2 linked regions of the Macaca mulatta genome follow. The protein of the gene in region 1 binds, or shares a complex with, the protein of each later gene. Links are inferred from orthologs where the notes say so. Each region holds a gene or a part of one and is shown on either strand. Other genes may lie near its edges.

Evidence for each region.
Region 2: the proteins of POLA1 (region 1) and PRIM1 are in contact, whole or in part, in a cryo-EM structure (PDB 7OPL), measured with the Homo sapiens proteins. The link is inferred for Macaca mulatta from reciprocal best matches to the Homo sapiens genes POLA1 and PRIM1. Residues at the interface, in NP_058633.2 of Homo sapiens: Tyr439, Ala440, Pro447, Glu448, Lys449, Ser450, Phe876, Thr877, Thr878, Gln880, Leu906; in NP_000937.1 of Homo sapiens: Asn92, Thr93, Val94, Lys95, Leu96, Gly97, Ala98.

Annotation. Positions count from the first base shown.
Region 1 is NC_133426.1:24,558,242-24,562,416, forward strand, and holds part of POLA1 (DNA polymerase alpha catalytic subunit), read left to right. Parts: intron 1-224; coding exon 225-324; intron 325-1,438; exon of another isoform or gene 1,439-1,568; intron 1,569-2,415; coding exon 2,416-2,540; intron 2,541-4,175. UniProt on the Homo sapiens protein: Catalytic subunit of the DNA polymerase alpha complex (also known as the alpha DNA polymerase-primase complex) which plays an essential role in the initiation of DNA synthesis.
Region 2 is NC_133416.1:63,911,763-63,915,937, forward strand, and holds part of PRIM1 (DNA primase small subunit), read right to left. Parts: intron 2,339-4,175; coding exon 2,269-2,338; intron 1,501-2,268; coding exon 1,409-1,500; intron 1-1,408. UniProt on the Homo sapiens protein: Catalytic subunit of the DNA primase complex and component of the DNA polymerase alpha complex (also known as the alpha DNA polymerase-primase complex - primosome/replisome) which play an essential role in the initiation of DNA synthesis.

The DNA of each region.
Region 1 (4,175 bases):
AATTTTTGTATTTGTTAACTCAGGATGTAGTATTTGTTTAAGAAATTACTATGCTTGGAATTCATTTGGATTCATGAACATATTACAATAACTGTCTTTCCCAACAGTTAGGATCAGTAACTGAAATGTTTGTTAGAACTAAGTCCTGCAATTGGAAAAGAGAGAATCATCAAAATTTTAAATTAGTTAATTAGTGGTGAAGCTATCTTTCCATTTGATATTAGGGAGATGAAGATGAAGAAATTGATGGAGATACCAATAAATATAAGAAAGGACGTAAGAAAGCAGCTTATGCTGGAGGCTTGGTTTTGGACCCCAAAGTTGGTAAGGCTGGGCAGTGAATTGGTTTTCTCCCAATATTAAGGAGTTTCTTAATGTGGATCTAGGCTTGAGAAACTAGAAGACCTGAATTATATCTTACAGGTCAGCAAATAGGTCTCATGACTTTTATCTTTCATTCATGTGAAAATCTTGGTTGCCAGTCACCTGACATAGACTTAATGTGAATTTTGTTATGCTGTGTTCCAATGAAATATTTATAGACATTGAGATTTAAATTTCATATAGTTTTCATAGGTCATGAAATACTGTTTTTGATTTTTTTCCAGCCATTTAAAAATGTAAAAACCATACTTAAGCTCATGGATGGTACAAAAATAAGCAGTAGGTTGGGTTTGGTCTGTAAGCGTAGTTTGTCCAATAGATAGGTAGCTGTCCAGTACATAGATAGCTGTTTGTCCTGACCAGTTCAGTTGACAGCAAAGTTAAAGAATACAGACAATAACCACCAAATTTAACTTTAACAGAATACCTTTTCCCTATTGTCATGAATGGCAAAGATGTTTTGTGGTACACAGAGCTAGAAATAATCTTTAAAAAAATAAAAATAAAAAACTTTTTTTTTTTTTTGGAGACAGAGTTTTACTCTGTTGCCGAGGCTGGAGTGCAGTGGTGTGATCTCTACTCACTTCAGCCTTCACCTCTTGGGTTCAAGTGATCCTCCTGCCTCAGCGTCCTAAGTCGCTGGGACTACAGGTGTGTGCCACCATACCCAGCTAATTTTTTGTATTAAAAAAAACCATTTCATCCATTCCCAAGTGTACAGTTCAGTAGTAGTGTTAAGAATATTCACATTGTTGTGAAGGAATTAATGTGAATTTTATCCAGTAAGTTAATTCTGAATAGGAGACATTTTTGACAAAAGTGATTTTATTATTAGTTATAATGAAATGGAGCACTAGTACTTGGTGTTATGTAGGTCTGGGTTTGAATTCAGTGTGATCTTGGACTGCCTGTTTAACCTCTGTAAGCTTCAGTTTCTTCTGTAAAATAGAGATAAGAGTAATATCTACCACACAGGGATTTAAGGATAAATTAGTATGACACTGGACACAGAATAAACTATCTTATGTGTTTGCAATTATTACTGTCTTAATAGTGGACATTTATTTTTATTCAGTTTCTTCTCAAGGTGAAGATAACTCTTTGTAAATGTCCTACAGAAATATAGTAGCTTTCTGTTCATCCTTTGCAAGTAAAAAGGGTGGGTCGTTCCACTACTGACATTTATATATATGTGTCTCTTGTTTGATTTTAGCTCAGTTTTTGTACAGGTTTAAGTGTGCTGTCCATTTTATATTTTGAAGCTGTTGTAAAAGAATAAATTACTCGGCCAGGCATGGTGGCTCACACCTGTAATCCCAGCACTTTGGGAGGCTGAGTCAGGCAGATCATGAGGTCAGGAGATCGAGACCATCCTGGCCAACATGGTGAAACCCCATGTCTACTAAAATACAAAAAATTAGCCGGGCATGGTGGTGCACGCCTGTAGTCCCAGCTATTCGGGAGGCTGAGGCAGGGGAGTCGCTTGAACCCGGGAGGCGGAGGTTGCAGTGAGCCGAGATTGCGCCACGGCACTCCATCCTGGAGACAGAGTAAGACTCCGTCTCAAATAAATAGATAAATAAACAAACAAACAAACCACTCACTTGGTTTTATTTGGGGTGGGAGTGGGAGAGTAGGTAGGGGAATTCTTCAAAGAATTCTTGCTTTGAAGGAGAGTTGAACTTTTTTTTTTTTAAATGGATGTGACACCTCTCAGATACCTGATTGGGAAGGTATTTGCTCATGATAATGGTGTGCTTTGGGGGCAGCTGGGGAAAGGACTGGTTGTAGCTGGTTCTAAAGAGAGACAGGATCTTTTTCTCCCTCTTTTGTGATCTGGCTTTTCACTAATTCGCATTATTTTATAGAACAGTAGTTGATTCTTTTTTTCCCTTTTTGTCTGTCTCACAGCTCTGGATAGTGTATGTGGATAGTATGTAGTTTCTAATATACTTATAGTGCTTTTAATAATGATGTTTTGACAATTCTGCTTTTCTTTAGACTTTTTATGACGTGGCTTTTTAATTTCAGGTTTTTATGATAAGTTCATTTTGCTTCTGGACTTCAACAGTCTATATCCTTCCATCATTCAGGAATTTAACATTTGTTTTACAACAGTACAAAGAGTTGCTTCAGAGGCACAGAAAGTTACAGAGGTTTGTATTTAACCTGGGACTCTTGAAATCGAGTTTAAAAGAATTGCTTAAAGAAGGAAGATCTGTGTCTTTTTAAAATAGTTTTATTGTGGTATTATTCATATACCAGATAATTCACCTGTTAAAAGTGTGTAGTTCAGTGGCTTTTAGTGTATTCCCAGAGTTTGCAGCCATCATCACAACCAGTTTTAGGATATTTTCATTATTCCCCAAATAAACCTTTTAGCTGTCACCTCCCTCAATCCCCTATCCCTTCCATCTCTAGGCAACTACTAATCTTTTTGCTTGTATAGATTTGTGTATTCTGGACATCTCATAAATAGAATCATACAATATATGGCCTTTCGGTATCTGGCTTATTTCACTTATAATGTTTTCAAGGTTCATCCATTTTGTAGAATGTACTAGTACTTTATTCGTTTGTGTTGCTGAATAATATTCCATTTTATATGCATGTGTGGTGTATGTGTAGGTGTATATACATATACAACATTTTGTTCTTTTTTGTAATTTTTTTAAATACATGGCAGAAGATGTCTGGTTGCCCTCTAGCTCCTGAATTTATATGTCCTTTAGTTCTCACCACAAGCTTAGGACCTGTTTTTCAATCTCAATTTCATATTCCCAGAAGAGAGAATCCGATAGGTTTGCCTAGGTTGGTTAGCGCCCCAGGTCCCTGTTACCTGTGACCACAAGAGTAGGTTCACAGGGTACAAATCTGGCTGCTAAGGGTGGGCCTTTCTGTGGGACTAGTGGATACTTTTACAGAGAAGATACTGGGTAGACATCCCCAAAAGGTATGACTGCATTCAATTAATATTTGAGCTCTGCTCTGCTACTGTGCCAGCATGGTGATAATTAATATTATTTAGCCTCTGCCCACCACCATTTTGCTTATTGGAGCTTTACAGCTTGGATTCTGGATATATAATAGAATCATTTTGAGGCCGGGCGCGGTGGCTCACGCCTGTAATCCCAGCACTGTGGGAGGCCAAGGCGGGTGGATCACGAGGTCAGGAGATCGAGACCATCCTGGCTAACACAGTGAAACCCTGTCTCTACTAAAAATACAAAAAATTAGCCGGGCGTGGTGGTGGGCGCCTGTAGTCCCAGCTACTCAGGAGGCGGAGCTTGCAGTGAGCCCAGATTGTGCCACTGCACTCCAGCGTGGGCAACAGAGCGAGACTCCGTCTCAAAAAAAAAAAAAAAATAGAATCATTTTGGAGTTGGAAGGGACCTCAGAGGTCATCTAAGAAATACTATACATGTAGCAATTTATAGATCTGAATCATTTTCATGCATGGTACCTCAGGACAGTTAGGGTCACACAGGTAGTAGTTGTAGAGCTAGGAGTAGATTGTAAATTTCCTGACTCTACATCCTTTCAGTTTACTTTTTATCTGACTTTCATAGTTGCTGTAAATAAATTGGAATGTGTACCAGGATCTCTTTAATAGATTTACTATCATCATCTTATATTCGAAAACAATAGGTCCCTATTACTATTGTAAGAGCGTTCACTTGAAGATATTGATCTCTATAAAATCAGATGCTTTGTAAAGGCTAGGTTATCAAATGGCATTGACTTGATGTACTTTAAACCAAGAGGTTTATTTTTATTTCTGAACCTTTGAA
Region 2 (4,175 bases), on another chromosome or scaffold:
TGCCTCAGCCTCCCAAAGTGCTGGGATTACAGATGTGAGGTGAATGGTTAGCAAGCATTACTCTCTGAGCTCTGCCTTATGTTAGATCAGCAGAAGCACTAAATTCTCATAGGAGCATGAACCCTATTGTGAACTGCGCATGTGAGGGATCTAGGTTGTGCACTCCTTATCAGAATCTAATGCCTGATGATTTGAGGTAAAAAAGTTTCATCCTGGAACCATCCCCAACTCCTCCCCATCTCTTTGAAGTCCGTGCAAAAATTGTCTTCCACAAAACCAGTCCCTGATGCCAAAAAGGTTGGGAAGTGCTGCTATGCAGCATCTCTCTCTCTCTCTTTTTTTTTTTTTTGAGACGGAGTTTCACTCTTGTTGCCCAGGCTGGAATGCAATGGCGCGATCTTGGCTCACCACAACCTCCACCTCCCGGGTTCAAGCAATTCTCCTGCCTCTGCCTTCCAAGCAGCTGGGATTATAGGCATGTGCCACCACACCTGGCTAATTTTGTATTTTTTGGATAGACGGGGTTTCTCCATGTTGGTCAGGCTGGTCTTGAACTCATGACCTCAGGTGATCTGCCCACCTGGGCCTCCCAAAGTGCTGGGATTACAGGTGTGAGCCACCGTGCCTGGCCTGCAGTATCTCTTAGGTGTTAGATTTGCCTTCCATTAGCAAGAAGATATAGAAATTCCTTAGCTTCTTCAAATTCTTGTCTTTTTTTTTTTGAGACAGTCTCCCTCTGTTGCCCAGGATGGAGTGCAGTGGCACAATCTTGGCTCACTGCAACCTCTGCCTCCTGGGTTCAACCGATTCTTCTGCCTCAACTTCCTGGCTAGCTGGGATTACAGGCGCCTTCCACTACACCTGGTTAATTTTTGTATATTTAGCAGAGACGGGGTTTCACCATGTTGCCAGGCTGGTCTTGAACTCCTGAGCTCAAGTGATCCGCCTGCCTCGGCCTCCCAAAATGCTGGGATTATAGGCATGAACCACTGCGCCCAGCCAGCTTCTTCAAATTCTTGAATATACAACTCGGTAAACAGTTTAGACATGTTTACCATAAAACCCACCTATATGCATCAGAAACAAAGAGCAAAAGTACTGCATATATAATAGTTGTTAAATAAATAGGTGGTGAATCTCAGAGACTGATTATTCATACTTATTGATAGTTTAATCTTACAGTATAGATCCTAGCATTTAGAAGTTGTTTAGGAAATATGTGTTGAATCAGACTGGATTCAGTAACACCACTTGGGTAACTGCTGAAGAAAGGACACAAACATTGTATGCAGTTCCAGGACAAATGCTGATCCATTCTGGCTGAATCAGAGAATTAATTATTGGAGTGACAGATGGATATCTATATAAAAACCCTGTATTAAAGTGAAGCTTCAATATATTATCTTACCTCTGGTTCTATGTTTGACATCAGATTCAGCTTCATTCTCCTCTTTTTCCTCTTCATTAATGGAAATGGCATCCAATTCACGGCAGATGAAGCTGCAAGTAACAGAACAAGATAATTTTTTTTTTTTTTTTTTGAGATGGAATCTCGCTCTGTTGCCAGGCTGGACTGCAGTGGTGCAATCTTGGCTCACTGCAACCTCTGCCTCCCAGGTTCAAGCGATTCTCCTGCCTCAGCCTCCCGAGTAGCTGGGACTACAGGCATGTGCCACCAAGCCCAGATAATTTTTGTATTTTTAGTAGAGATGGGGTTTTACAATGTTGGCCAGGATGGTCTCGATCTCTTGACCTTGTGATCCGCCCACCCTGCCCTCCCAAAGTGTTGGGATTATAGGCATGAGCCACCGTGCCTGGCCACGAACAAGAGAAGTTTAATGTTGGTTTCTGGTCAGCATTATCCAGTGTATAATAGCATGTGAATCCCATAAAATTTACTGTAAAAAAATTATGTGGTCAACTTAAATTTGGGATATTCTAAACAGCATGATCTCTTCTTGGAGTTTTTCATGCATATTATCATATGAAAGACTGTGAAATACTGTAGTAAAAGATACTTTTAATCTGTTTAAGTCAGAATTTCCTAAATTTATTTGACCTTAAAATCTTTTTCTTATGTAACAGCAGGTGAAAAGCTTGTATTGTTCTATTAGGGCATCATCATCTAACCTTTGAACCTTATTTGGTTTCCCTAACCAAATATACCATTCCCATGCAACTAATTCTCTAAGAAGGAGGCTAATCCAATTTATTTAAAATTCAGAACAACAATTACAAACAAGGAGTGATCAATGATTTGAAACATACCTTATGGTTGGAACAGTAAATGGATCAAACTGGTCCACTTTCTGCAAATCAATAGGCACAGATATGCGACCTGTAAGAAGCAAAAGTTATAAACTGATGATTGTGGACTATAAATCATTATAGGCTCTCCTATAAGTTATTTTTCGTCAAATTTTTTTTTTTTTTTTTTTTTTTTTTTTTTTTTTTTGAGGCAGAGTTTCACTCTTGTTGCCCAGGCTGGAGTGCAATGGCAAGATCTCGGCTCACCACAACCTCCACCTCCCAGGTTCAAGCAATTCTTCTGCCTCAGCTTCCCTAGTAGCTGGGATTATAGGCATGTGCCACCAGGCCCAGCTAATTTTTTGTATTTTTAGTAGAGACGAGGTTTCTCCATGTTGGTCAGGCTGGTCTCGAACTCCCGACCTCAGGTGATCCACTCGCTTTGGCCTCCCAAAGTGCTGGGATTACAGGCGTGAGCCACTGTGCCCAGCCTAAAATTTTTTATCTAAGGCTTAGACAAAGGGTTAAACTTATCTGTTAAGAACCGTATTTAGAAATATAAATTAAAGTACTTTCACATTAGCTGTGCCCTTACTTTTTTTTAGAGTTAAGGTCTCACTTTGTCACCTATGCTGGAGTATAGTAGCATGGTCATAGCTCACTGCAGGCTTGAAGTCCTGGGCTCAAGTGATCCTCCCACCTCAGTTGTCTCCCAAAGTGCTGGAATTATAGATGTGAGCTACTGCACCTGGCCTGGCCAGTTTTTCAATTTTTGTTGAGTTGGGGTCTCACTGTGTTGCCCAGGCTGGCCTTGAACTTCTGGCCTCAAATAATCCTCTTGCCTCAGCCTCCTGAGTTGCTAGGATTACAGGTGTGAACCACCATGTCCAGCATGCCTTTTACTTCTCTTTAGAAAACAACTGGCCAGGTGCAGCGGCTCACACCTGTAATCCCAGCACTTTGGGAGGCCGAGGAGGGTGGATCACGAGGTCAGGAGGTCAGGACCAGCCTGGCCAAGATGGTGAAACCCCGTCTCTACTAAAAATACAAAAATTAGCCAGGCGTGATGGCGGGTGCCTATAATCCCAGCTACTTGGGAGGGAGAGGCAGAGAATTGCTTCAACCTGGGAGGCGGTGGTTGCAGTGAGCCAAGATCACGCCACTGCATTCCAGCCTGGGTGACAGAGCGAGACTCTGTCTCGAAAAAAAAAAAAACCAAAAACACCAAAAAGCAAATGTGAAGACTGTTTCAATAAGAGCTATTTCCCAGTTGCTCTTATCCCTACTTTTATTTCTATATTTAGAAATAAAGTATATTTAAATATTCCATATTTAAGTTCAGGACAATCTCAGATTTAATAAGTCCTGAAAATAGAACAAAATAGATGGAAATATTATATTTACATTAGCTTAGTTTTTTTTAATTGAGATCAATACAGATGCCCACATGTCAGATACCTTTAAAAAGCATTCTGGAAATAAAATAGAAATTATTCTACTCTTTTAACCCCTCCTAGGATACCATACAGAATTTAACATATCTCAAAAATGACATGAGGCTGGGTGCAGTGGCTCATGTCTGTAATCTCAGCACTTTGGGAGACTGGGGCAGGTGAATTGCTTGACCTCAAGAGTTCAAGACCATCCTGGGCAATATGGCAAAACCCTGTCTACAAAATATTAGCTGGCTGTGGTAGCATGTGCCTGTAGTACCAGCTACTCAGGAGGGTGAGGCAGAAGGATTGCTTGAGTTTGGGTGATTGAGCCTTCAGTGAGCCGAGACTGCATCAGTGTACTCCAGCCTGGGTGACAGAGTGAGATTCTGTCTCGAAAAAAAAATTTTTTGTTTTTGTCAGTGCTAGGGAGTAGAGTTCATTGCATTTCTTTCTTTTTTTCTTTTTTTTGTGAGACAAGGTCTCACTCTGTCG